3 linked regions of the Struthio camelus genome follow. The protein of the gene in region 1 interacts with the protein of each later gene in a biochemical or structural test. Links are inferred from orthologs where the notes say so. Each region holds a gene or a part of one and is shown in the gene's direction. Other genes may lie near its edges.

Region 1 (8,067 bases):
CCACCCCGCTGATGGACACGGAACACGGCCTGGTCACCAACGGACATAGGAGGGACACGGGACACAGTCCACCCTGCCAGGACACGGGACATGGCCTGGCTGCCGATGGACATGGGACGCGGCCTCGCTGCCAAGGGACATAGGAGGGACATGGGACACAGCCTGCCCCGTCAGGACACAGGACACGGCCTGGCCACCAATGGACACAGGAGGGACGCGGGACGTGGCCTGGCCACCAAGGGACACAGGAGGGACACGGCCTGGCCGCCAAGGGACACAGGAGGGACACGGGACGTGGCCTGGCCGCCAAGGGACATAGGAGGGACACGGGACACGGCCTGGCCGCCAAGGGACACAGGAGGGACACGGGACGTGGCCTGGCCGCCAAGGGACATAGGAGGGATATGGGACACGGCCTGGCCGCCGAGGGACACAGGAGGGTCACGGGACACGGCCTGGCCGCCGAGGGACACAGGAGGGACACGGGACGTGGCCTGGCCGCCGAGGGACATAGGAGGGACACGGGACACGGCCTGGCCGCCGAGGGACACAGGAGGGACACGGGACACGGCCTGGCCGCCGAGGGACACAGGAGGGATATGGGACACGGCCTGGCCGCCAAGGGACACAGGAGGGACACGGGACACGGCCTGGCCGCCGAGGGACACAGGAGGGATATGGGACACGGCCTGGCCGCCAAGGGACACAGGAGGGACACGGGACACGGCCTGGCCGCCGAGGGACACAGGAGGGATATGGGACACGGCCTGGCCGCCAAGGGACACAGGAGGGACACGGGACACGGCCTGGCCGCCGAGGGACACAGGAGGGACACGGGACGTGGCCTGGCCGCCGAGGGACACAGGAGGGGTATGGGACACGGCCTGGCCGCCAAGGGACACAGGAGGGACACGGGACACGGCCTGGCCGCCGAGGGACACAGGAGGGATATGGGACACGGCCTGGCCGCCAAGGGACACAGGAGGGACACGGGACACGGCCTGGCCGCCGAGGGACACAGGAGGGACACGGGACACGGCCTGGCCGCCGAGGGACACAGGAGGGATATGGGACACGGCCTGGCCGCCAAGGGACACAGGAGGGATATGGGACACGGCCTGGCCGCCGAGGGACACAGGAGGGACACGGGACGTGGCCTGGCCGCCGAGGGACACAGGAGGGACACGGGACACGGCCTGGCCGCCAAGGGACACAGGAGGGACACGGGACACGGCCTGGCCGCCGAGGGACACAGGAGGGACACGGGACATGGCCTGGCCGCCAAGGGACACAGGAGGGATATGGGACACGGCCTGGCCGCCGAGGGACACAGGAGGGATATGGGACACGGCCTGGCCGCCGAGGGACACAGGAGGGACACGGGACGTGGCCTGGCCGCCGAGGGACACAGGAGGGACACGGGACACGGCCTGGCCGCCGAGGGACACAGGAGGGATATGGGACACGGCCTGGCCGCCGAGGGACACAGGAGGGACACGGGACACGGCCTGGCCGCCGAGGGACACTGGAGGGACACGGGACACGGCCTGGCCGCCGAGGGACACAGGAGGGGTATGGGACACGGCCTGGCCGCCAAGGGACACAGGAGGGACACGGGACACGGCCTGGCCGCCGAGGGACACAGGAGGGACACGGGACACGGCCTGGCCGCCGAGGGACACAGGAGGGATATGGGACACGGCCTGGCCGCCAAGGGACACAGGAGGGACACGGGACACGGCCTGGCCGCCGAGGGACACAGGAGGGATATGGGACACGGCCTGGCCGCCAAGGGACACAGGAGGGATATGGGACACGGCCTGGCCGCCGAGGGACACAGGAGGGATATGGGACACGGCCTGGCCGCCGAGGGACACTGGAGGGACACGGGACACGGCCTGGCCGCCGAGGGACACAGGAGGGGTATGGGACACGGCCTGGCCGCCAAGGGACACAGGAGGGACACGGGACACGGCCTGGCCGCCGAGGGACACAGGAGGGACACGGGACACGGCCTGGCCGCCGAGGGACACAGGAGGGACACGGGACGTGGCCTGGCCGCCAAGGGACACAGGAGGGATATGGGACACGGCCTGGCCGCCAAGGGACACAGGAGGGACACGGGACACGGCCTGGCCGCCGAGGGACACAGGAGGGATATGGGACACGGCCTGGCCGCCAAGGGACACAGGAGGGATATGGGACACGGCCTGGCCGCCGAGGGACACAGGAGGGATATGGGACACGGCCTGGCCGCCGAGGGACACAGGAGGGACACGGGACGTGGCCTGGCCGCCGAGGGACACAGGAGGGACACGGGACACGGCCTGGCCGCCGAGGGACACAGGAGGGATATGGGACACGGCCTGGCCGCCGAGGGACACAGGAGGGACACGGGACACGGCCTGGCCGCCAAGGGACACTGGAGGGACACGGGACACGGCCTGGCCGCCGAGGGACACAGGAGGGACACGGGACACGGCCTGGCCGCCAAGGGACACAGGAGGGACACGGGACACGGCCTGGCTGCTGACGAAGGCGGCCAGGGACACCGTCCCCGGGGGACAGACTCTCGGGGCCCAGCGCGGCCCAGCCCGGCGCACCTCAGCCCCCGCCGGCCGCCGTCGCCGGGGAGCCGCACGGGGAGGCCCCGCCCCGACCCATGAGCTCCTCCCCGCGCCCCGCCCCGCCCCTGCCAGCTCCGCCTCGCGCCTAACCCCGCCCCTGGGCCACAGGCTCCGCCCTGTGCCCCGCCCCGGCCCGGCAGCCTCTGCCCTGCACCTGTCCCCGCCCCCGCAGGCCCCGCCCCACCCCAGCGCCCACGGGCTCCGCCCCTGGCCCCACCCCCACAGGCTCCGCCCTGCGCCTGGCCCTGCCCCACCCCCACCCTAGCGCCCACGGGCTCCGCCCCCGCAGACCCCACCCCGCAGGCTCTGCCCCGCCCCTTGCCCCACCCCGCGGGCTCCGCCCTGCGCCTGGCCCCGCCCCTTCTTCGACACCACGGGCCGAGGCGGGGACAGAGGAGGGGGCCGGGCGCGCAGCCCCCGCCCCGCCCCTGCGGCAGGGACCGTCCCCCCCGCCGGGCGCAGCGCGCCAGCGCTCGAGGTCTGCTCGCCCCGCCGCACGCCCACAGCCCGACATTCGCGATGACTCTTTTATTAGGACCGGGAAACACCTTCCCAGCAGTAGAAAAGCTCCAACTCTGCAGCACCAAAGGAGCTTTGTTGTTAAGACAAAAGAGTTCAGCTAAGAGCCCTCTTGGCCAGAACCGCAGCACTAGTTTTCTCCCTTACTGCCTTCAGTGCCAGCCGTCGGTCTCAGCCCCAGCGCCACCAGACACTGAACGGATGTGGCCGATGTCAGGAGGCTGTTCGTAATGCAGATGCATTAGAGGATGTGGACCTGCAAGGTCTGGTGTTGGTGCAGAGAGGATTCTACCGCTCCAGACTAGCAGTAGCAACAGCGTGTGGAGGCCCAGATCTCACTGCACTGCCCACAAGTTACTTCTCACACTGGTAACACAGGGCCCAGATCCAGCCTGCAACCATCCATCCCACCACTGCTGTGAGAAGGCAGGGCCCAGGAGTTACAGCTGTGCTATGTGCCAGCATCTGAGGCTCCTTCTGTGGCTCCACCAATGCCAGAAGCCACCTGCAAGTCAGGCTGGGCATCAGGGCCCCCAGTACCTGGGAGGGCAGGCGGTGCCACTGATACTTCCTTGGCAGAATTTGCAGACGTCTGGGCTGCACTGGCCTCGTAGTCCGAGGCACGGCGCTGCACAATGGAGGGCATAAGCGCCACATAGGCACTCATGAGGCGGTGGTTGGAGTGGACCAGTTTTCCAGCACAGCTGTCCAGGCACATCTCCTGCAGGATGGCGAGGTGTCAGCACGGCAGGCGGGCTCCTCATCAGGGGCACGCGCTGCCTCTCCCCACAGCCCCTCCAGCCCATCCAGTGCTGTGACGCGAGCAGGAAACCAGCACTGCAAGACCTGCGGTGCTCCAGCCGCCCGAGAAAGGCCCAACGCTGGGCTCACCTCATGCTTGGTGAGCACGCGGTAGTTCAGGTTGGAGACGCAGCGCCGGAAGCAGAGTTCAGTCATCCGGTTGTAGACCAGCAGGAAGTCCCGCAGCTGGAAGAGCAACAGCGCTGGTGCACGCTCACCCTGCTCAGGGTCTGCCAGTGTCCCAGGCCCCCACCAACCCCCTGAGCATCTCGGGGTCCCCGCCCAGCACTCGAGCGCCCCGGGGTCCCCACCAACCCCCTGAGCATCTCGGGGTCCCCACCCAGCCCCCGAGCGCCCCGGGGTCCCCACCAACCCCCTGAGCATCTCGGGGTCCCCACCGAGCCCCCGAGCGCCCCGGGGTCCCCACCAACCCCCTGAGCATCTCGGGGTCCCCGCCCAGCACCCGAGCACCCCGGGGTCCCCACCAACACCCTGAGCATCTCGGGGTCCCCGCCCAGCACTCGAGCGCCCCGGGGTCCCCACCAACCCCCTGAGCATCTCGGGGTCCCCGCCCAGCACTCGAGCGCCCCGGGGTCCCCACCAACCCCCTGAGCATCTCGGGGTCCCCACCCAGCACCCGAGAACCCCGGGGTCCCCACCAACACCCTGAGCATCTCGGGGTCCCCGCCCAGCACTCGAGCGCCCCGGGGTCCCCACCAACCCCCTGAGCATCTCGTGGCCCCACCGAGCCCCCCAGCGCCCTGGGCCTTGCCACTCCCCGGGCCCCCGGCCGAGCTCCTGCAGCCCCGCAGCGCCCCAGGCCCCACCCGGCCCCGGCCCCGGCCCCGGCCCCGGCCCCGGCCCCCCTCACGCTGCGGAGCTGCTGCTGCTCCCCGCTCTGCTCCATGCCCGCACAGGCACTTCCGGCCAGGAGCAATGACACAACTTCCGGTCGCGCCTGTCACCTCCGGTGTTTTCGGAAGCGCCGTTCCTCTTGGGGCCGCCGCTTCCGGGGATCAGGCCATTTCCGGCCCTGTTCCGCCCGGCGCTGTTCCCGGTCGCCCCCTGGTGACGCCACTTCCGCCCTGCCTCCCGGCGTCCCCTGCCCGGGGTGTGACGTCGGTTCCGGTGTGTGCCGGGGCCGAGGCGGATCGGGGCTCCGGCGCCTCCGGGGCGGGGGGACCCGGCAGCGGCCGGGGCGGCGCAGGTGGGCGGCGGGGCCTGGGGCCTGGGCCTGGGGCCTGGGGCCTGGGGCCTGGGGCCTGGGGCCTGGGGCCTGGGGCCTGGGGGAGCCGGGGGCCGGGACCTGGGGGCGGGGGGCGCTGTGTGCTCGTGGACAGGGGGTGCGGGGGGGGGAGTGGGGGGAGCGGGGGGCGCTGTGTGCCCGTGGACAGGGGGTGGGGGAGTGGGGGGAGCGGGGGGCGCTGTGTGCCCGTGGACAGGGGGTGCGGGTGGGGGAGTGGGGGGCGCTGTGTGCCCGTGGACGGGGGGTGCGGGTGGGGGAGTGGGGGGAGCGGGGGGCGCTGTGTGCCCGTGGACAGGGGGTGGGGGAGCGGGGGGCGCTGGGTGCCCGTGGACAGGGGGAGCGGGGGGCGCTGGGTGCCTGTGGACAGGGGGTGCGGGTGGGGGAGCGGGGGGAGCGGGGGGAGCTGTGTGCCCGTGGACAGGGGGAGCGGGTGGGGGAGCGGGGGGAGCGGGGGGCGCTGTGTGCCCGTGGACAGGGGGAGCGGGTGGGGGAGTGGGGGGAGCGGGGGGCGCTGTGTGCCCGTGGACAGGGGCTGCGGGGTGGGGGAGTGGGGGGAGCGGGGGGCGCTGTGTGCCCGTGGACAGGGGCTGCGGGGTGGGGGAGTGGGGGGAGCGGGGGGTGCTGGGTGCCCGTGGACAGGGGCTGCGGGTGGGGGAGTGGGGGGAGCGGGGGGCGCTGTGTGCCCGTGGACAGGGGCTGCGGGGTGGGGGAGTGGGGGGAGCGGGGGGTGCTGGGTGCCCGTGGACAGGGGCTGCGGGGTGGGAGAGTGGGGGGAGCGGGGGGTGCTGTGTGCCCGTGGACAGGGGGTGCGGGTGGGGGAGCGGGGGGTGCTGTATGCCCGTGGACAGGGGCTGCGGGGTGGGGGAGTGGGGGGAGCGGGGGGTGCTGTGTGCCCGTGGACAGGGGCTGCGGGGTGGGAGAGTGGGGGGAGCGGGGGGTGCTGTGTGCCCGTGGACAGGGGGTGCGGGGTGGGAGAGTGGGGGGAGCGGGGGGTGCTGGGTGCCCGTGGACAGGGGCTGCGGGGTGGGGGAGTGGGGGGAGCGGGGGGTGCTGGGTGCCCGTGGACAGGGGCTGCGGGGTGGGAGAGTGGGGGGAGCGGGGGGTGCTGTGTGCCCGTGGACAGGGGGTGCGGGTGGGGGAGCGGGGGGTGCTGTGTGCCCGTGGACAGGGGCTGCGGGGTGGGGGAGTGGGGGGAGCGGGGGGTGCTGTGTGCCCGTGGACAGGGGCTGCGGGGTGGGAGAGTGGGGGGAGCGGGGGGTGCTGTGTGCCCGTGGACAGGAGGTGCGGGTGGGGGAGCGGGGGGTGCTGTGTGCCCGTGGACAGGGGGAGCGGGGGGCGCTGTGTGCCCGTGGACAGGGGGTGGGGGAGCGGGGGGCGCTGGGTGCCCGTGGACAGGGGGAGCGGGGGGTGCTGTGTGCCCGTGGACAGGGGGTGCGGGTGGGGGAGCGGGGGGCGCTGTGTGCCCGTGGACAGGGGCTGCGGGGTGGGGGAGTGGGGGGAGCGGGGGGTGCTGTGTGCCCGTGGACAGGGGCTGCGGGGTGGGAGAGTGGGGGGAGCGGGGGGTGCTGTGTGCCCGTGGACAGGAGGTGCGGGTGGGGGAGCGGGGGGTGCTGTGTGCCCGTGGACAGGGGGAGCGGGGGGCGCTGTGTGCCCGTGGACAGGGGGTGGGGGAGCGGGGGGCGCTGGGTGCCCGTGGACAGGGGGAGCGGGGGGTGCTGTGTGCCCGTGGACAGGGGGTGCGGGTGGGGGAGTGGGGGGAGCGGGGGGTGCTGTGTGCCCGTGGACAGGGGGTGGGGGAGCGGGGGGTGCTGTGTGCCCGTGGACAGGGGGTGGGGGAGCGGGGGGCGCTGTGTGCCCGTGGACAGGGGGTGGGGGAGCGGGGGGAGCGGGGGGCGCTGTGTGCCCGTGGACAGGGGGAGCGGGGGGCGCTGGGTGCCTGTGGACAGGGGGTGCGGGTGGGGGAGCGGGGGGCGCTGGGTGCCTGTGGACAGGGGGTGCGGGTGGGGGAGTGGTGGGGTTGTGTGCACCGCTGGTGCGTGGGGCTCCGTGCTGGGAACTGCAGCGTGAAGGCATGGCAGATGCCTGCCTGAAACAGCAAGTGCCTCCAGGGCAATCAGGGCTGACCTCGGGGGCCGCTGTGCTAGCGGCACGGCTGAGGGCACCACAGCTGGGTGCTGCTGCGCGTTACATCTGTCCCTGCTGCCCACTGGGGCCAGGAGATGGTGCCCCGCTTCAGGAGGGGGCTGGGGATGTGTCTGTGGGGCCACGGCCACCCCATTCACCCAGGGGAGAGCCCAGTGCCAGGTGCTGTTGGGTGGTGTTGTCTTTCCCTGGCGCTGCAGCCCCTCCAGAACAGAGCGACTGCCTGCTCAAGGGAAGCCCACAGGGCTGGGAGTTTCCCAGGGCCCAGGCCATGTTGCAGGTAGAGGTTTGGCTCAGAGAGATCAGGGAGTACTGCTGGAGTTGCGTGTTCTGCCCTTCGTATCCTGCTCCCTGTACTTGCTAAGGCGTGTTCGTGTTGGGTTGCTGCTAGGGTCAGTGGTGACTCCCACTGTTTTTGATATGGGACCAGATCTATAGAGCTCTTGTCAAAGAGCAAGTGCCAGTGCTGGTGGGTCCCTGCGTGACTGGAACCATTGTGCTTACCTGGTGCTGCCTGGCCTCAGGCCCTGGCTGCCGCAGCGAGGGGTGGGTGCCACCCAGGTGGAGCGTCCTGCCTACAGCTGCAGGGCAATCAGGACTGCTGGGTCCGCTCTCTGCCTTTGCCTCTGCCGTTAGTTGACTGTGAGTTGTTTCTCTTCCCAAGCTGTAGTTTCCCTGCTCTGGAGCAGGCTCTGGAGCAGGAGCCATGGTCACTGTTTGAGGGCTGTTCTG
Region 2 (6,968 bases), on another chromosome or scaffold:
TGGCAGTAAACTCCATTTAGATAAATTTCCTTTACTAAAGAGATGAGACTGAACTGGCAGTATCCAGGGGGATCGGTAGGGCTCACTGTAAATTGCAGGGCAGTATGGTACTCAGCCATAATACTTGCTGCTTTAAAGACCAGAGCATGAACCCTGGCACTGCCTGTTGCACTCAGGGACACTCGTGAGGCCTGATGTCAGCAGATCGTACCCTCAGCTCAGCCTGCACGTGCTGCTTAAGAGAGGTCACGGATGGTATGTTTTCCTTGGCATTCTCCCTCTTTGCTCAATGCATGAAAGAGAAAGGCTTCCTCTGAAACTGTTGTTGTCATTCCCTTAATAATTCCGTAATCTAGGAAATCTCCCGTTCTCATTCTAGACTGCAAAGAGAGCACACGATTTCCCCTTTGCTGTTCCAAGGGGGATTGCTTTGCATGTGCCACATAACAGCAAAAATATGGCTGTGATAAAAATTAACCCAAATGAAAGATTTGCTATTTTTGAAGCGACAGAGGGATTGACAGAGGGTCAAGTCTCTTACACATGCAATCTCAAGTAAAAGCACACCTGTGCTCTCCGGGCAGGCTGGAAGGCAGCCACGTAGCCTGGCCTCCTGAAGACTGATGCCAAGGGGACCACGGGGGACATTTCACCGGGTTTGTACCCTGGCCCCCCTTCCCATGTCCTCTCCTGTGACTCACATACAGCTACCAACACAGGCTGCATTTCCCACTGCCTTCCTCCCCGCAGGCCCTGCCAGCACAAAGCGGGCTAACGCCCTGCGCAGGCAGGCCCTGCTCCAGCACGCCTGCCCTGCAATCACCAGGTGAGGACCAGCCCCATGGTGACTAAGAGCATACGAGGAAGCACAGGGCTGCCCCGTGCAGGGGCGGTGAGTCCTGGCGTACCGGCCTCGCCACCTAGTCACCGGCAGCCCAGCCTGGCGGGGTTGCGACATACGGCAGGGGTTTCTGTCTGTGAAACTGGCCCAACGTGTGGCTGTGAAGTACGTGCAGCAGGAGCCGTTTTGCACCGTGCAGGGTGCACAGTGGGGCACAGCTCCCAGGGAAGGCAGTGGAGGAATGTGGCCAGGTATTTGAACACTTTATTTCCTGGTTGGTTAGCCACGGTTTAAGTTCCACTGATCCTAGTTATCTGGAGTGACCCAAGACACCACCCACCAAAGAGCCTTAACCCTTTCTGCCACTACACATCCCAAGTTGTTTTGTTTTAAAACAGGGGAGATTCTTTTTGGAGAACACTGGGGAGGGCTCACCCCCATAGGCTACAGGCATGGCTGCAGCCGAGACATCCTGACTCCTGGTGTAGGTATGGGGGGAGACGTGCTTCTGCAGCCTCCTCCTTACTCCTCCTGTAATCTTGTCATGGTAGTGGGGGAGTTGTGCTCATATCCTCAAGCATCTTGCATCAAGGCTAGTGATACTGCAAATGTGGTTTGTGCTGTCAAATGTAGGCTTTTTTATATTGCAGAAGTTATGTGCTCCTGCTTGTCTTCTTCCCAAGCCTGTGAAGCCACTGGCTTGGCACGAGCCAGGGCACAAAAAAGCTGCTCCTAACCATACAGCCATGTCTAACACTCTGATGTATAACGCAGGCAGTAGCTGACTGGGCGTAGGACTGTTCTTGGTTTCATATCCTGTGACGTCTTTCAATATACAGCACGTACCTTCCGGGCCAGCCCGCCCTCCTCAAGGCCTTAAAAAACAAAAAAAAGGCAAACATCAAATTTATATTCTGTGGTTTTCAAAGATTTAAGTATGATGACCCTTTCAGTTATGGCTCATATAGGTCAGGCTCATAGGGGTCAGGCAGGACCACTCAGAGCTACACAAGGGCTCAAGCCCCTTCCACGCCCACATTTCAGTCTGTTCCCTGCCCCTGCTCTACTGCTCCTGCCAACTACCGGACACTACACAGTCTTCATAATGTCCCTAAAGTCACTGCCTCCCAACTTCCCACTTCCTTTCTCCAGTCTGCCACCTTCTTCCCTTTCCAGCAAGCCCTTCATTGGCACTTCCTCTTCTTAAAGAAAATACAGCTTGTGCTGTGCTCAGATGAGACCTGCTTTCTTCCCCCCAACTAACAGATTTTTAACAGCGATTCATTCAACATACCTACGTTAATTTTTCCAACACCTGCCAAGGCCAGTGTTGGCGTTTGCTACGTCTGGGCATCATTCAGGAGCTAATATACCACCAGCTCTACGCCACCACACAGGTCAAGTGAGCGGCCTAGCCAGGATCCCTCTTCTGTATGTTGCCTGAGCACCCTCAGTGTAATTGATTTGGGACACAACCACGGGATTTGAGCTTCCCTGTGAGGCTCCAACACTGCGTTCAGCTTTGCTCTTCCATTAGCAGGCAATGAGTCGAGACCCTGAGGGCCAGTCTGATGTTCCAGCTACGGCATTACAGAAAACAGCAGACTGGACGACACCTTAAGGGATTAGTTAGTCCAGCACCATGCATGAGCCCAGCTCAAGCACTCTGGATCATACTCCACAGGCTTCTGTCTGAGCTCCAAAGCGCGTGACCCTAAAACCTCAAGAAGGGACCGCACAGGCTCCCCCCGCAGATGGCTTCCCTCAGAAAGCCCTTCCCACAAGGTGGCCTAAACCTTTTGCCAACCTCGGCACGGCAGAGCAGGGCGATGACGAGCCCGGCCCCCCTCCCCGTCAGCCCCTTTTCCCTAGGGCGGCCTAGCGCAGGGCGGACCCCAGGCACCAGAGGCCCCTTCCCGCCTCGGTGGCCCTGTGAGACCTGTCCCTCCGCGAGGAGCCAGGGCCACCGGCGGCCGCGCAGCGACGGCGGGGCCCCTCAGGCGCATCACCCCTCCCCCAAAGCGCAGGCGGCCGGGCGCAACGGTTGGCGCCAACCGCCGTCAGGGCGGGCACGGGCACGCGCCCGCCCCCGCGCATGCGCGCAAGGAGCAGCGGCAGCGACACCCATCCCACCTCCCCCGCCCCGCTCCGGGCCCTTTAAGAAGCGCCCGTGGCGTCCTGCGCGTGTCGTGTGCTGACGTGTGATCGCGTGGCGCCTCTCTCCACAGACGCCCCGCCCCCTCCGGCTGCCGCATGCGCACTCACGCCGCAAGCCCCGGTCCCGGCCCCGCCCCGTTGCTCCCCGGCCCGCTGCGCAGGCGCAGCAGTACGGGAAGTACCGCCCTCGCCTGTGCTGGGCGGCGGGGCGTGCGCAGACGGCGCACGCGCGGCGCTCGCGGCGGGCAAATCGGGCGCGCTCCTACGCCGCCGCCCCGCCCTTCTGCGCCGGCGTGCTCCGTCTGCGCGCGCTCCCTCCGACGCGCGCGGGGCGGGCCGCCGTGACGGCACCCGGCGCACGCGCGGTTCCCTTCCCGAGGCCGCGCGGGGGCGGGCGGAAAGGGGCGGGGCGCCGCTTGCCCCGCTCCCCCCCCACCGCCGCCGCGCTGTGAGGGGGGGCCGGGCGCATGCGCAGAGGGCAGGGCGGGTGGGGCCGGGGGCGGGGGCGCGGCGCGCAGGCGCAGTGGCGGCGGAGGGGGAAGTGAGGCGGGCTCGCGCGGCGCCTTTTCCGGCGAGGGCAGCTGCCTGAGGGGAGCGGCGCGGCGCGGCGCGGCCAGCAGCGGAGCCGGCCTCGGCCTCGGCCCCGGCCTCAGCCCCAGCCCGCGGGCGGCCCTGAGGTAACTACCGGCGGCCCCGCTACCTCCGCCTGCGCGGGCCAGGACGCGGAGCCGCCGCCCCTGAGCCGGCCTCCATGAGCTGAGGCGCCGGGGCGGCAGCCAAGGCAAGAGCCGGGCGGAGCCGTTGCCGCCGCCGTCGCCGCCTCAGGCCCGGCCGGCGAGCGGGGCGCGGCGCGGCCGGTCTTCCCGCTCCGCAGCGGCAGGTCTCGGCCTCCGCGGCCGGCCCATGCGGCGCTGAGCCCCGCCTGCCCTTGGCCTGACGCGCCGGGCCGGGCCGGCCCCGCTCCGCTGCGCTCCGGGCCGCCGCCCCGCGCCGGCTGCTCGGCTGCGTCGCCGCTCGTCCCTCATCTCTCCCTTCCCCCCCCTCCCCCCCCCCGCCGGCGCCGGGCCCCTTGGATGCCGCCGAGATGGGCAAGGTGCTGTCCAAGATCTTCGGCAACAAGGAGATGCGGATCCTGATGCTGGGTCTGGACGCGGCCGGTAAAACCACCATCCTGTACAAACTGAAGCTGGGCCAGTCGGTCACCACCATCCCCACCGTGGGCTTCAACGTGGAGACGGTGACTTACAAAAACGTCAAGTTCAACGTGTGGGATGTCGGGGGCCAGGACAAGATCCGTCCCCTCTGGAGGCACTACTACACGGGCACGCAAGGGTTGATCTTTGTGGTGGACTGCGCCGATCGCGACCGCATCGACGAGGCCCGCCAGGAGCTCCACCGCATCATCAACGACAGGGAGATGCGGGACGCCATCATCCTCATCTTCGCCAACAAGCAGGACCTGCCCGATGCCATGAAACCCCATGAAATCCAGGAGAAACTGGGCCTGACCCGAATCAGGGATAGGAATTGGTACGTGCAGCCCTCCTGTGCTACTACAGGGGATGGACTCTACGAAGGGCTGACATGGTTAACATCCAATTATAAATCCTAATGAGAGAATAACTATTTAGTCTACAAAGAATTAAAAAAAAAATAACCCACATGGCTTTCCAGACGAATGATTCTCTACTGAAAAGTAAAACAAAAGCATCCATAGGATTATGATCACCTTTCTCCAGTTACCACCCTTTCGTTCTACACACTGACTGGATTCCTGTTTTAACTCTCCTTGCTTGGCGTTAGGATGCTCTAATCTTCAAACGTGACACGAACACAAGCACTAGATGCTATGGCAGACCTCCAGCAAACAGGGGAAAGACACATTGTAGACTTGCTAAGTAACTTTTTTTTTTCCTCTTGATAGCCTTTAAGATGGTTTGATTATTTTGGGGGATGGTTGGGGGAGGGGTACCATTTTCAGCGTATGCTTTCTGGTTCTACTTTTTTGATTACGTTTTTTTCTTCTATCACTTGCTGTAGATTGCTACTTTTTTGCATCCATGCAGAATATGTTGATAGGTCTACTTCATCTAGTAAACGGAAAACTATTGCTTAAAATCAAACTGCAGTCTGTCTTTTTATATTAAGGACTTTTTTAAAAGTTCTGTTAATCTGTAACTAAATAGTGACTCTCAGTCTGTCTTCATATCTCAGACTAATAATGAAACGAAATCTTGCCTACAGTGGCAGATAGTGAGAATACCATTGTAATATGTTCAAAGTGCATATCAGGCATAATGTTAACTAGGTAATGTAAGAACTGCTTTGAAATGTCAGCTGTGAAGTTCTGAACCATACATCATGCATGAGAAGGGATGCAAGTAAGTTCCCCATACTACATAGCAACCATATAGCAAATACAACATGAATGATGTAGTAGTTCCAGGGTATATACTGTTCAGTTTTTGTCTTGCATTGCAAACTTAATGATGTTTAGCTGCAGTTTTTATTACTTGTGTCAGTCTCCAATTCAACGCAAGATATGTTCCTTCCAAAAAAATGCAGCAATAACGTGTAACCATTGCGACAAGTTTTAATTTAAATCACAAACGTTTAGGCAAAAATCTAGCACTGACTTTACTGTCTTGCGATAAAGAAAAGTTGCTTTCATCTCAAGACACTTGAAGACATCTTTTAAACCTTAAAAGGATTTATTTTCGTTACTTCTGAAATGCATGTATTGGAGAAAGGAGAACCAGAACCCTATTTTTCCATTTTGTAGACTCCCGAATGGGCAAGTTCAGCGCGAAGCTTTAACAGAGCTCAGTAATTCTGACATGTGAATGATTGCCATTTTGAGGAAATCACTTACTGGTTTAGTTCTGCAAGACTAGACTTAACTCATACAAATAGTTGCAGTCTTCGCCATCTGTCTCGGTAGCATGTTGTTGCTGTAGTCCTGTATGAAAGGAACTATGTTGGATGTCTGAAGCCCATTGAGTAACTATTAATGAGAACGGGAGGAGAGAGTGAGAAGACGACTATGAATGTAAACTTCCATAACTAGTTCTTAAAGGGCAAGCAGCTCATTTGCCATGTCACAGTTTTCAGATGTGACTGGCAAAAAAAACCCACCCAAAGCAAGTATTTGTATTAGTATAAAATCTCAATCAAGTATTAATACTGGGTGCAAAAAATGTAAAGCAGCTGGTTCTTATTCAGCCTTAAGGATTAACTTCAGATTTCCTCAAGGAGTTAAAATTCAATTGGGGAATTCTAGGAATGTATGCTACAAAACCAGAAGAAAATGGCTTTCTTTTTTTTTTTCCTTCCTTTTCCAAGGTTATGAGTTTTACATGAAATTGGGGCATTACACTACATTTCTGCAGTGTTTACTCTGCATGCTAAATGCATTGTGTATGGAGCTCTTACCAAAGACATATGGGAAGATAAAAATGCTGAATTCACTTCTGAATTTGTATGCTTTGGACCACTTACAAATTACCTTAGAGCATGGTTCCGAAAGAAGACTTATCTTGATGTGGGTTGCAAATGGGATTGAATGGGTTCTTGATACTAGAAGATAGAGCACTGATTGATTATAAACCTGTGCAAGTTAAAGATAAGAGTCTGGAAAAACAAGCTTCATGTACAGTACAAAAGCTCTTAAATCTCAGTCCTGAAGAAGAGGAGGTGAGGCTTTTCACTTAAGTCTTTTTGCCATTGGAATATCATTGCTCTATTTTCTAGGGTTTTTTTTTTTTTATAAGCGTAAGAATTCTTTTTTCTGTTGATGTAACTTAACAAATAGCGTGGTAGTATAAAGACTAAAAATATAAGAATATGGTTATTGTTTTCTTCTGGAGCATAAATAAAATAGCCAAGCACAAAGTAAATGCCTAAACTGGAAAACTTGAAGGTCTATTAATGGTTCTTGAACTTTCTTAAATCTATTCTCAGTCAAAATGAA
Region 3 (7,128 bases), about 220 Mb from region 1:
CAGTTTACCCAGGGGCTTAATTCTGCTCTGATGAATTCCAGGCAAGGGCTGAGCCATCCTTTCCCCTAAAATCCTGTACAAGCCACTACGCTGACTTGCCCGTATTGAAAAGGGAGATTCAAGGATAAAAGAAACCAAAGGCATTTTTGTTTTTACTCCCAGTCCTCCAACAGAATTCCTGTCAGCAGTGTTATCTGTATTGCTACAGGTTGGTGGGGGGTAGGAAAAAGCAAATTCATGTCACAGTCTGACATAGGATGTTTAAAAACATGCACGTGCTTTAAAACTCTCATATCTCAAACTACAATTTATTTAAATGCTATGCTTTGTTGCACTGGTATTAACATAATTCAGTGGTTCCTGAGTAACTACAACAAACACCTGGTGCTCACAGTTTTTATGGCTATCGAGAGCCAACTGTCTAATAGAAAATTTGAATGGCAGCACTTGACTGACCATCACGAATTAAAGCATAACTGGGGTCAGATCATTGTCACCTCTGTCAGAGAACGTGTTGCAGATACCGTCCAAAAAGAGGCAAATAGCGTGAAATCAGCCTAGTCCCTAATTAGACCCTTCAGATTAGAAAGGAGAAAACGTGTTCCACGCCGAGGGATGAGGAGGATACCATTCTGGAGTGCTTCCGGCTGCAAATTCAGTTACTGGTGCCATCTCCTGAGCACGTTGCCCCACAACCCACAGAGTTACACAGGTTCCTCTTTTACATCACATCCCTTGTTCTAGCTCTTTTCTCTCCCCACATGCATGCAGGCAAGAGCCTTTTTCTCATATTTACCTTTCTTCTTTCCCCAGAGCTCTTCAAACTTCACTGAAAAGTAACCCCAGGCCCTTCAATAGCACAGGCCACGAAGCTCCCTGGGCTTACGCTAGCCAAACCAGTTTATGTTGTTCCCATCAGCACGGATGGGCTGTCACCTTTAGCTGCACAGCATCTTTCACAATGGATCAGACAAGAACCTCTGCAGTTTGATAGCTTTTGTCACAGCAGCTGTGAAATTCACAGAAATCTCTCATCTGCCATGCTGTAGAATAGGAAAAGGGAAAGATGGTTTCATGACTTCAACAAGCAAGTAGTGCAGGCCCTGAAGACGAAGGCATGAGAGGCCTTATTTCACAATTATCTCCACACTCATCCGGGGAAAGTCCTACCGATTTACAGAACATTGCATTAGAAGTTATTTCCTTTTATGAGCTACAGTAGTTGTACCTTGCATTGCCCTTAAATACTTTACAAGGACAAGAGCACATTCATTGCCACAGTGAGTCAAAGCAAAGGTCTCTCCTCCCATCCCAGCCACTATCACACCAGATGATAACGTGTTCAGAACCTAATGACGCTCTAGAGGATAGCCACAGCCCAAGCACCTCATAAAGGCTGCTCCCAACGCCCATGGTCATTAGCCCCTGCATAGTATGACTTACACACTGAACCACAAACAGCCTTTATTTTCCTCAGGGAATACCGTCTCATCAAATAAAGCCATGATGTTCTTACTTATTTCAAACTTCTTGGACAGGGAAGGGAAATTGTGCCGCCACTCCAGTCAAACCCTGCCCCCTGACTGCTGCTGCTATGTCCCGCAGAGTAAGCTGCTCAAGCACACAGCCAGGGAATTACCTTTCTCATCTCTTGCAATAGCTGCACTTGGAAGTGATTCTTGAGACTGGCCATCTCCTCCTGCAGATCCTGTATCCGTGGGTCTGGTTTGTTGCTCTCTTCCTGCACAGTTTGCAACTCTTTTTTCAGGTCTTCTACCTCCTGGCTCAGCTGCTTGATCTGCAGTTCATACCCCTCCGCACGGTCAGCCAGGCATACCCTCCCAGCCAACAGCTCCCTGGTCTCCTCTAGCTTTAGCTCTACGTCCTGGCGTGAAGTCCTCTCAGTCTGGAGCAGCTTCTGCAGCTCTCGCAGCATAACAGCGTGGTCACCCTGTTCTTGGGCTCGGTCATGCTGCTGTGTGATCAGACGGGCTTTGGTCTCTGCTAACTGTTCCTGGACAGACTTCAGCTCGGTCTCCAACTTGTCCCTCTCATCCTCTGCTTTCTTAACGGCATCATCCAGGTCTTGTTTCATCTTCTTCTTGTCTGCTTGGTATGAAGCTTCCATGCGAGATTTCTCCTGTGTGACTGTGGACAGAGCACTGGTCAAGGTGGCCAGCTGAGTCTTCAGCTGGAGCACTCTTTTATCAGCCTCACCAGCAGATGATGGCACATCTCCGCTGTTTGTGCTGATGCCGCTCTCTGAACCGCTTGTCTCCTCTGATTTAAGAGAGGAGGCAGTGGCCGCAGGCTTATCATCCTCAGCTCCTGGTTCAGCTTTGGTACTGGCCAGACTGGCAGCCGTGTCTGCACTGGTGGCTGTCCCCACGCTATCCTCACTGTGAACAGAACTCCTGTCATCAGCAGAATCGGCAAAGGAAGAGCTGGAGCTTGCCACAGACGCAGGGTGAGCTCCACTCAAGCCAACATCTGCCTCATGAGACACGGACAATACTTTCAAGCTAGCTTCCAAGGCCTCCTTTTCTTTGAGCAAGCTCTTGTAGGCTCTGACAACATCCTTCAGCCGAGCCTGGTACTGAAGAAGCTGCTTTTTCTGAGATTCAATAGTTTCTAGAAGATCTTTTTTACTTGGGCCACCTCCGAAGTTCATGCCAAACTTCTCCATGATGCCCTGTGCGATCTGAAACGAGAAGGAGAAAACCAGTGCACAGGCTAAACAAAGAGCAAAGACATATTTATGATTAACAGGAGCAGGTTGCTCATCAGGACCAGCATGCTGGACTCCCCCTGGGACACCAGTTAATGACCCTGTAACAGAACAGCCTAAGAAACATACTGGGCTGCTGTTAGGCCGCAGAAGGGTTGAGGTGGGCAAGGACCTCTGGAGACCGGCTGGTCCAACCCCCTGCTCAAGCAGGGTCACCGAGAGCACGTTGCCCAGGATCGCGTCCAGGTGGGTTTTGGAACATCTCCAAGGAGGGAGGCTCCACAACCGCTCTGGGCAACCTGTGCCGGTGCTCTGTCACCCTCGCGCTGAAGAAGTTTTTCCTCATGCTCAGACAGAGCTTCCTGGGCTTCAGCCGGGGCCCGCTGCCTCTCGTCCTGTCACCGGGCCCCACCGGGGGGGGGGGGGAGGGCCCAGCCGCGCACCGCCAGCCCGGAGCCCTACCAAGGGGGCCTCTCCCGGGCCGCCGGGGCTGGGGGAGGCATCGGGGCAGGAGAGAGGGCAGCGACGGGCCGCCGGGGGCGTCCCCAAACCCCCCCTCCCGCTCCCGGCCCGCGCCGCCGCCGCCGCCCGGGCCTCACCTGCAGGCCGGCGGGTCGCAGCCTCCACTGCGCAGGCGCGGAGCCCCCCCCCCCGCCGCCCGCCGCGGCTCAGTGCGCACGCGCCAGACCGCCGTTTTTTTTCCCCCCCCGCCTCCTCCACCCCCTCCCGGGAGATCGGACTGCGCAGGCGCGAACCGCACCGAGGCGCGAGGGCGGCGCCTGGCGGGGCGCCCGTCACAATCCGCCGGGGTGAGATTCCCCCTCCCCCCCCCCTCCCCCGGGGCATGCGCACATGGGGGCGACACGCCACAGACGCGCCGCGAGCGCCGCCCGCGGAGCCAATGGGCTTCAATGCGCAGGCGCAGCCCCGCCCCCCGGGGGGGCCAATACGCCATCGGCAGCAGGGGCGGGGGCGGAAGTGGGCGGGGCTTCCGTGGGGACGGGAGCGGGGGGGGGGTGCGCGCGCGCGCGCGCGTCAGAGGGAAGGGGCGAGGCCCATGGAGGCGTGTCACGGCGAGGGGCGGGCCTAAATAACCCCGGGGGCGGGGCTTCTCCGGCGGGGCGCCGTAAGGCAGGGATGAGGCCGAGGGGGCGGGGCTTCGTCCAAGGGGGCGTGGCGGCCGGGGGGGCGGGCCCGAGGGGCAGGAGGCGGGCCCGGGCGGCGCGGGGGCGCAGGGAGCGGGCGGGGCCTGGCTAAGAGGGGGCGGGGTCTAGCTAAGTGAGGGCGGGGAGGGGGCGGGGTCTGGCGGGGAGGGGGCGGGGCCTGGCGGCGAGGGGGCGTGGCGCGGCGCGGCGGAGCGCCGAGGCAGCGGGGCCGTCGCGTCCCTCCCCTCCCGCCGCCGCCGCCGCCGCCGCCGCCGCCATGGGCCTCACGGTGTCCGCCATCTTCTCCCGCATCTTCGGCAAGAAGCAGATGCGGATCCTCATGGGTGAGCGGCGGGGGCGGGCGGCGGGCCGGGGCCGGGCCTGGGGGCACCGGTGACCGCCGCCTCTCTGTTGCAGTGGGGCTGGACGCCGCCGGCAAGACCACCATCCTCTACAAGCTGAAGCTGGGCGAGATCGTCACCACCATCCCCACCATCGGTGAGTGGCCGCCGCCGGGCCGCCCCCGGCCGCCCCCGGCCCTGGACGCGGCTGGCGTCGCCGGCCCGGTGCCCCGTCCGCGTGCCGGGGGCTGCCGGCCGGCTGGGAGGGTGGTCCTGGCCCGGCGCGGTCGAGCGGCCCTACCGCGCGGAGGCCGGGGGCCTCGGCAGCGCCTGCCGCCTCCCGCCTTTGCAGCCTTGCCGGGCGCGCCGCCTCGCTCGGCGAGCAGGGTTGGCTTGTGGGCCACCTTGCGCTCGCGCAGCTTGGTTTGCGGCTCCTCATCTGCCTTGTGTTGGCAAGCGCTGAACTGAAGCCCTTACGTCAGCGTGATCTTGCTTCGGTCTGGTTCAAAGGCACTTCGCTTGGCGAGGAGGCCGCCACGTGCTGTTTTCAGAGCCTGCCCGAGCTCTAAAGGCAGGACAGGTTGTTGTTCCTGCCGGCGCACGGGTGGAAAGCCTTTAGGGAGGCTTTCAACGCTGTCTCCCATAACATCTCAGACAAACTGGTGAAGGACACGCTAACTAAGTCAACTGAAATCTGGCTAAACTGCTGGGCTCAGAGGGTTATGATGAGTAGCACAAAGTCCACCTGGAGGCCGGTCACGAGTGGTGCGCCCCAGGGGTCCATACTGGGGCCAACACTCTTTAACACCTTCGTTAATGACCTGGGTGGTGGGACCGAACGCACCCTCAGCAAGTTTGTAGACAATGCAAAAGGGGGAGGAGTGGCTGATACCCCAGAGGGGCCTCAAGAGGCTGGAGAGATGGGCAGAGAGGAACCTCATGAAGTTCAACACAGGGAAGGGCAGAGTCCTGCCCCTGGGGAGCAATAACTCCAGACACCAGGACAAGCTGGGGTCTGCAGCCAACTGGCTGCAGAGCAGCCTTGCAGAGAAGGCCTAGGTGGTCCTGGTGGGACAACAAGTTGAACATGGGTCAGCAACATACTCTTACAGCAAAGGTGGCCAGTGGCCTCCTGGGTTGCATTAGGCAGAGCGTTGCTAGCAGGTCGAGGGAGGTGATCCTTCCCCTCTGCTCAGCCCTGGTGAGGCCACACCTGGAGTGCCGAGTCCAGGTCTGGGCTCCTCAGGACAGAGAGGCATGGACCTGCTGGAGCATGTCCAGCAAAGGACCACAGAGATGATGAAGGAACTGGAGCATCTGTCATATTAAGAAAGGCTGAGAGAGCTGGGACTCTTCAGCCTGGAGAAGAGAAGACTCAGGGTGGTGTCTTATTCGTGTGACTAAAGAGCTGAAGGTAAGATGTTAAGAAGATGTGCCAGACTCTTCTCAGTTGTGCCCGGTGACAGGATAAGAGGCAGTGGGCGCAAGCTGAAACACAGGAATTTCCACTTGAACACAAGAAAACACTCCTTCACTGTGAGGGTGACTGAGCACTGGAACAGATTGCCCAGAGAGGTTGTGGAGTCTCCATCCTTGGAGATATTCAAAATCCACCTGGACACGATCCTGTGCAATGTGTTCTACATGACCCTGCTTGAGTTGGGGATTGGACTAGATGATCTCCAGAGGCTCTTCTCAACCCCAACTGTTCTGTGATTTTTGGTACATGAGTATCAGCCACATCTGGGCTGCTGAGGTTTTCAAGGGGATGTTCCCAGGGGCTGGCTGGTGAAATCATGCAGTGCTGGTCCTGGAGAGCTGGCAGGGCCAGGATAGACTTGCTGGGCAATGCTTGTGAGCGTGGGGATGCTCAGCTTGCAGAGTGAGCAGGCTGAGGGCAGGAAGCTCTGCAGCATGTGTTTCCTAGACCCTCTGCACAGCCGAATTGTGTTAACAGTGCGGTGCTGGGGGTAGAGATGCTCCCTGGGGATTGGTGGCAGATGAATGCAGCAGTGCACCTTGGTCTCCCTTCCTGCACTCCTGAGACACCAGTGGGTGTTGTATGCCTGATGCTGCATCATCTCCCTGTGCGATTCTCTGTCCCGCAGCTCAGAAACACAGAGTTTGATCAGACTAGGGCTGCTGCCTCCTGTGTCTCTTGCCTGTGGTCTGAGAGCCCTGAGGCTGCCAGCAGGATTGACAGTGTGTGTGCTGTCACTTCTTGCCCTTCCTGCCACCCCTGCAGGGTTCAACGTGGAGACAGTGGAGTACAAGAACATCTGCTTCACGGTCTGGGATGTGGGTGGCCAGGACAAAATCCGCCCCCTGTGGAGGCACTACTTCCAGAACACGCAGGTACGTGCCGCCGCAGGCCACGGTGGATGTGGCTGTTGCATGGGGACCCCTTCAGGCCTCTGTGCTGCTGGGGGGGCGAAGGGTCATGGGCCCCCACATCTGCAACAAACGCTGTTCTGGTCGGTGGGATGAACCTGCTCCCCTCTTAGCAAAAGAGGGCATTGCGTGGGGAAAGGTCGAAGCTCATCGTCACCTCTGGTCCTCGAGTGGCTGGTGGCAGGCTTTCTTCCTCCTAACGAGGAACTGAGCAGGGAGCTCGGCTGAAGTCACTCTCGTTCCCTCGTGTGCAGGCATGTGCTTTGGGATTAGAGGAAATCTGGGATAGTGCTTGGTTGAACTTCATGACTTGTAGCGATGCAGGGTCCCAGCAGCCTGTGGTCCCTTGGAGCTTCTGGCATGATCCTGCCTGAACTGAGCGTGTGAGTGGCTGCAGGAAATAATTCCTGGCTCCCAGTGCAGTGAGCCAGATGGGTCCCTAAGGACTGTATCTGGATATTTCCCTCAGCTCCTTAGCAGGAAGAGAAGTGTCTGAGATAAGAGTCCTTCAGAGGACTAGGTG

Evidence for each region.
Region 2: the proteins of ARFIP2 (region 1) and ARF6 form a complex in vitro, tested with the Homo sapiens proteins (2 studies listed by BioGRID). The link is inferred for Struthio camelus from reciprocal best matches to the Homo sapiens genes ARFIP2 and ARF6.
Region 3: the proteins of ARFIP2 (region 1) and ARF5 form a complex in vitro, tested with the Homo sapiens proteins (2 studies listed by BioGRID). The link is inferred for Struthio camelus from reciprocal best matches to the Homo sapiens genes ARFIP2 and ARF5.

The regions. Positions count from the first base shown.
Region 1 is NC_090942.1:225,141,446-225,149,512, reverse strand, and holds the start of ARFIP2 (arfaptin-2), read left to right. Parts: upstream 1-5,035; 5' UTR 5,036-5,154; intron 5,155-8,067. Other genes in the region: TIMM10B (mitochondrial import inner membrane translocase subunit Tim10 B), read right to left, coding at 3,598-3,867, 4,038-4,133, 4,819-4,854. UniProt on the Homo sapiens protein: Plays a role in constitutive metalloproteinase (MMP) secretion from the trans Golgi network. May have important functions during vesicle biogenesis at certain cargo subdomains, which could be predominantly utilized by secreted MMPs, such as MMP7 and MMP2.
Region 2 is NC_090946.1:81,169,539-81,176,506, reverse strand, and holds the start of ARF6 (ADP-ribosylation factor 6), read left to right. Parts: upstream 1-3,898; 5' UTR 3,899-4,082; coding exon 4,083-4,610; 3' UTR 4,611-6,968. UniProt on the Homo sapiens protein: GTP-binding protein involved in protein trafficking that regulates endocytic recycling and cytoskeleton remodeling. GTP-bound form plays an important role in the transport of multiple palmitoylated proteins form the Golgi to the plasma membrane.
Region 3 is NC_090942.1:1,068,338-1,075,465, forward strand, and holds the start of ARF5 (ADP-ribosylation factor 5), read left to right. Parts: upstream 1-4,052; 5' UTR 4,053-4,150; coding exon 4,151-4,217; intron 4,218-4,290; coding exon 4,291-4,371; intron 4,372-6,459; coding exon 6,460-6,569; intron 6,570-7,128. Other genes in the region: GCC1 (GRIP and coiled-coil domain-containing protein 1), read right to left, coding at 1,640-2,686.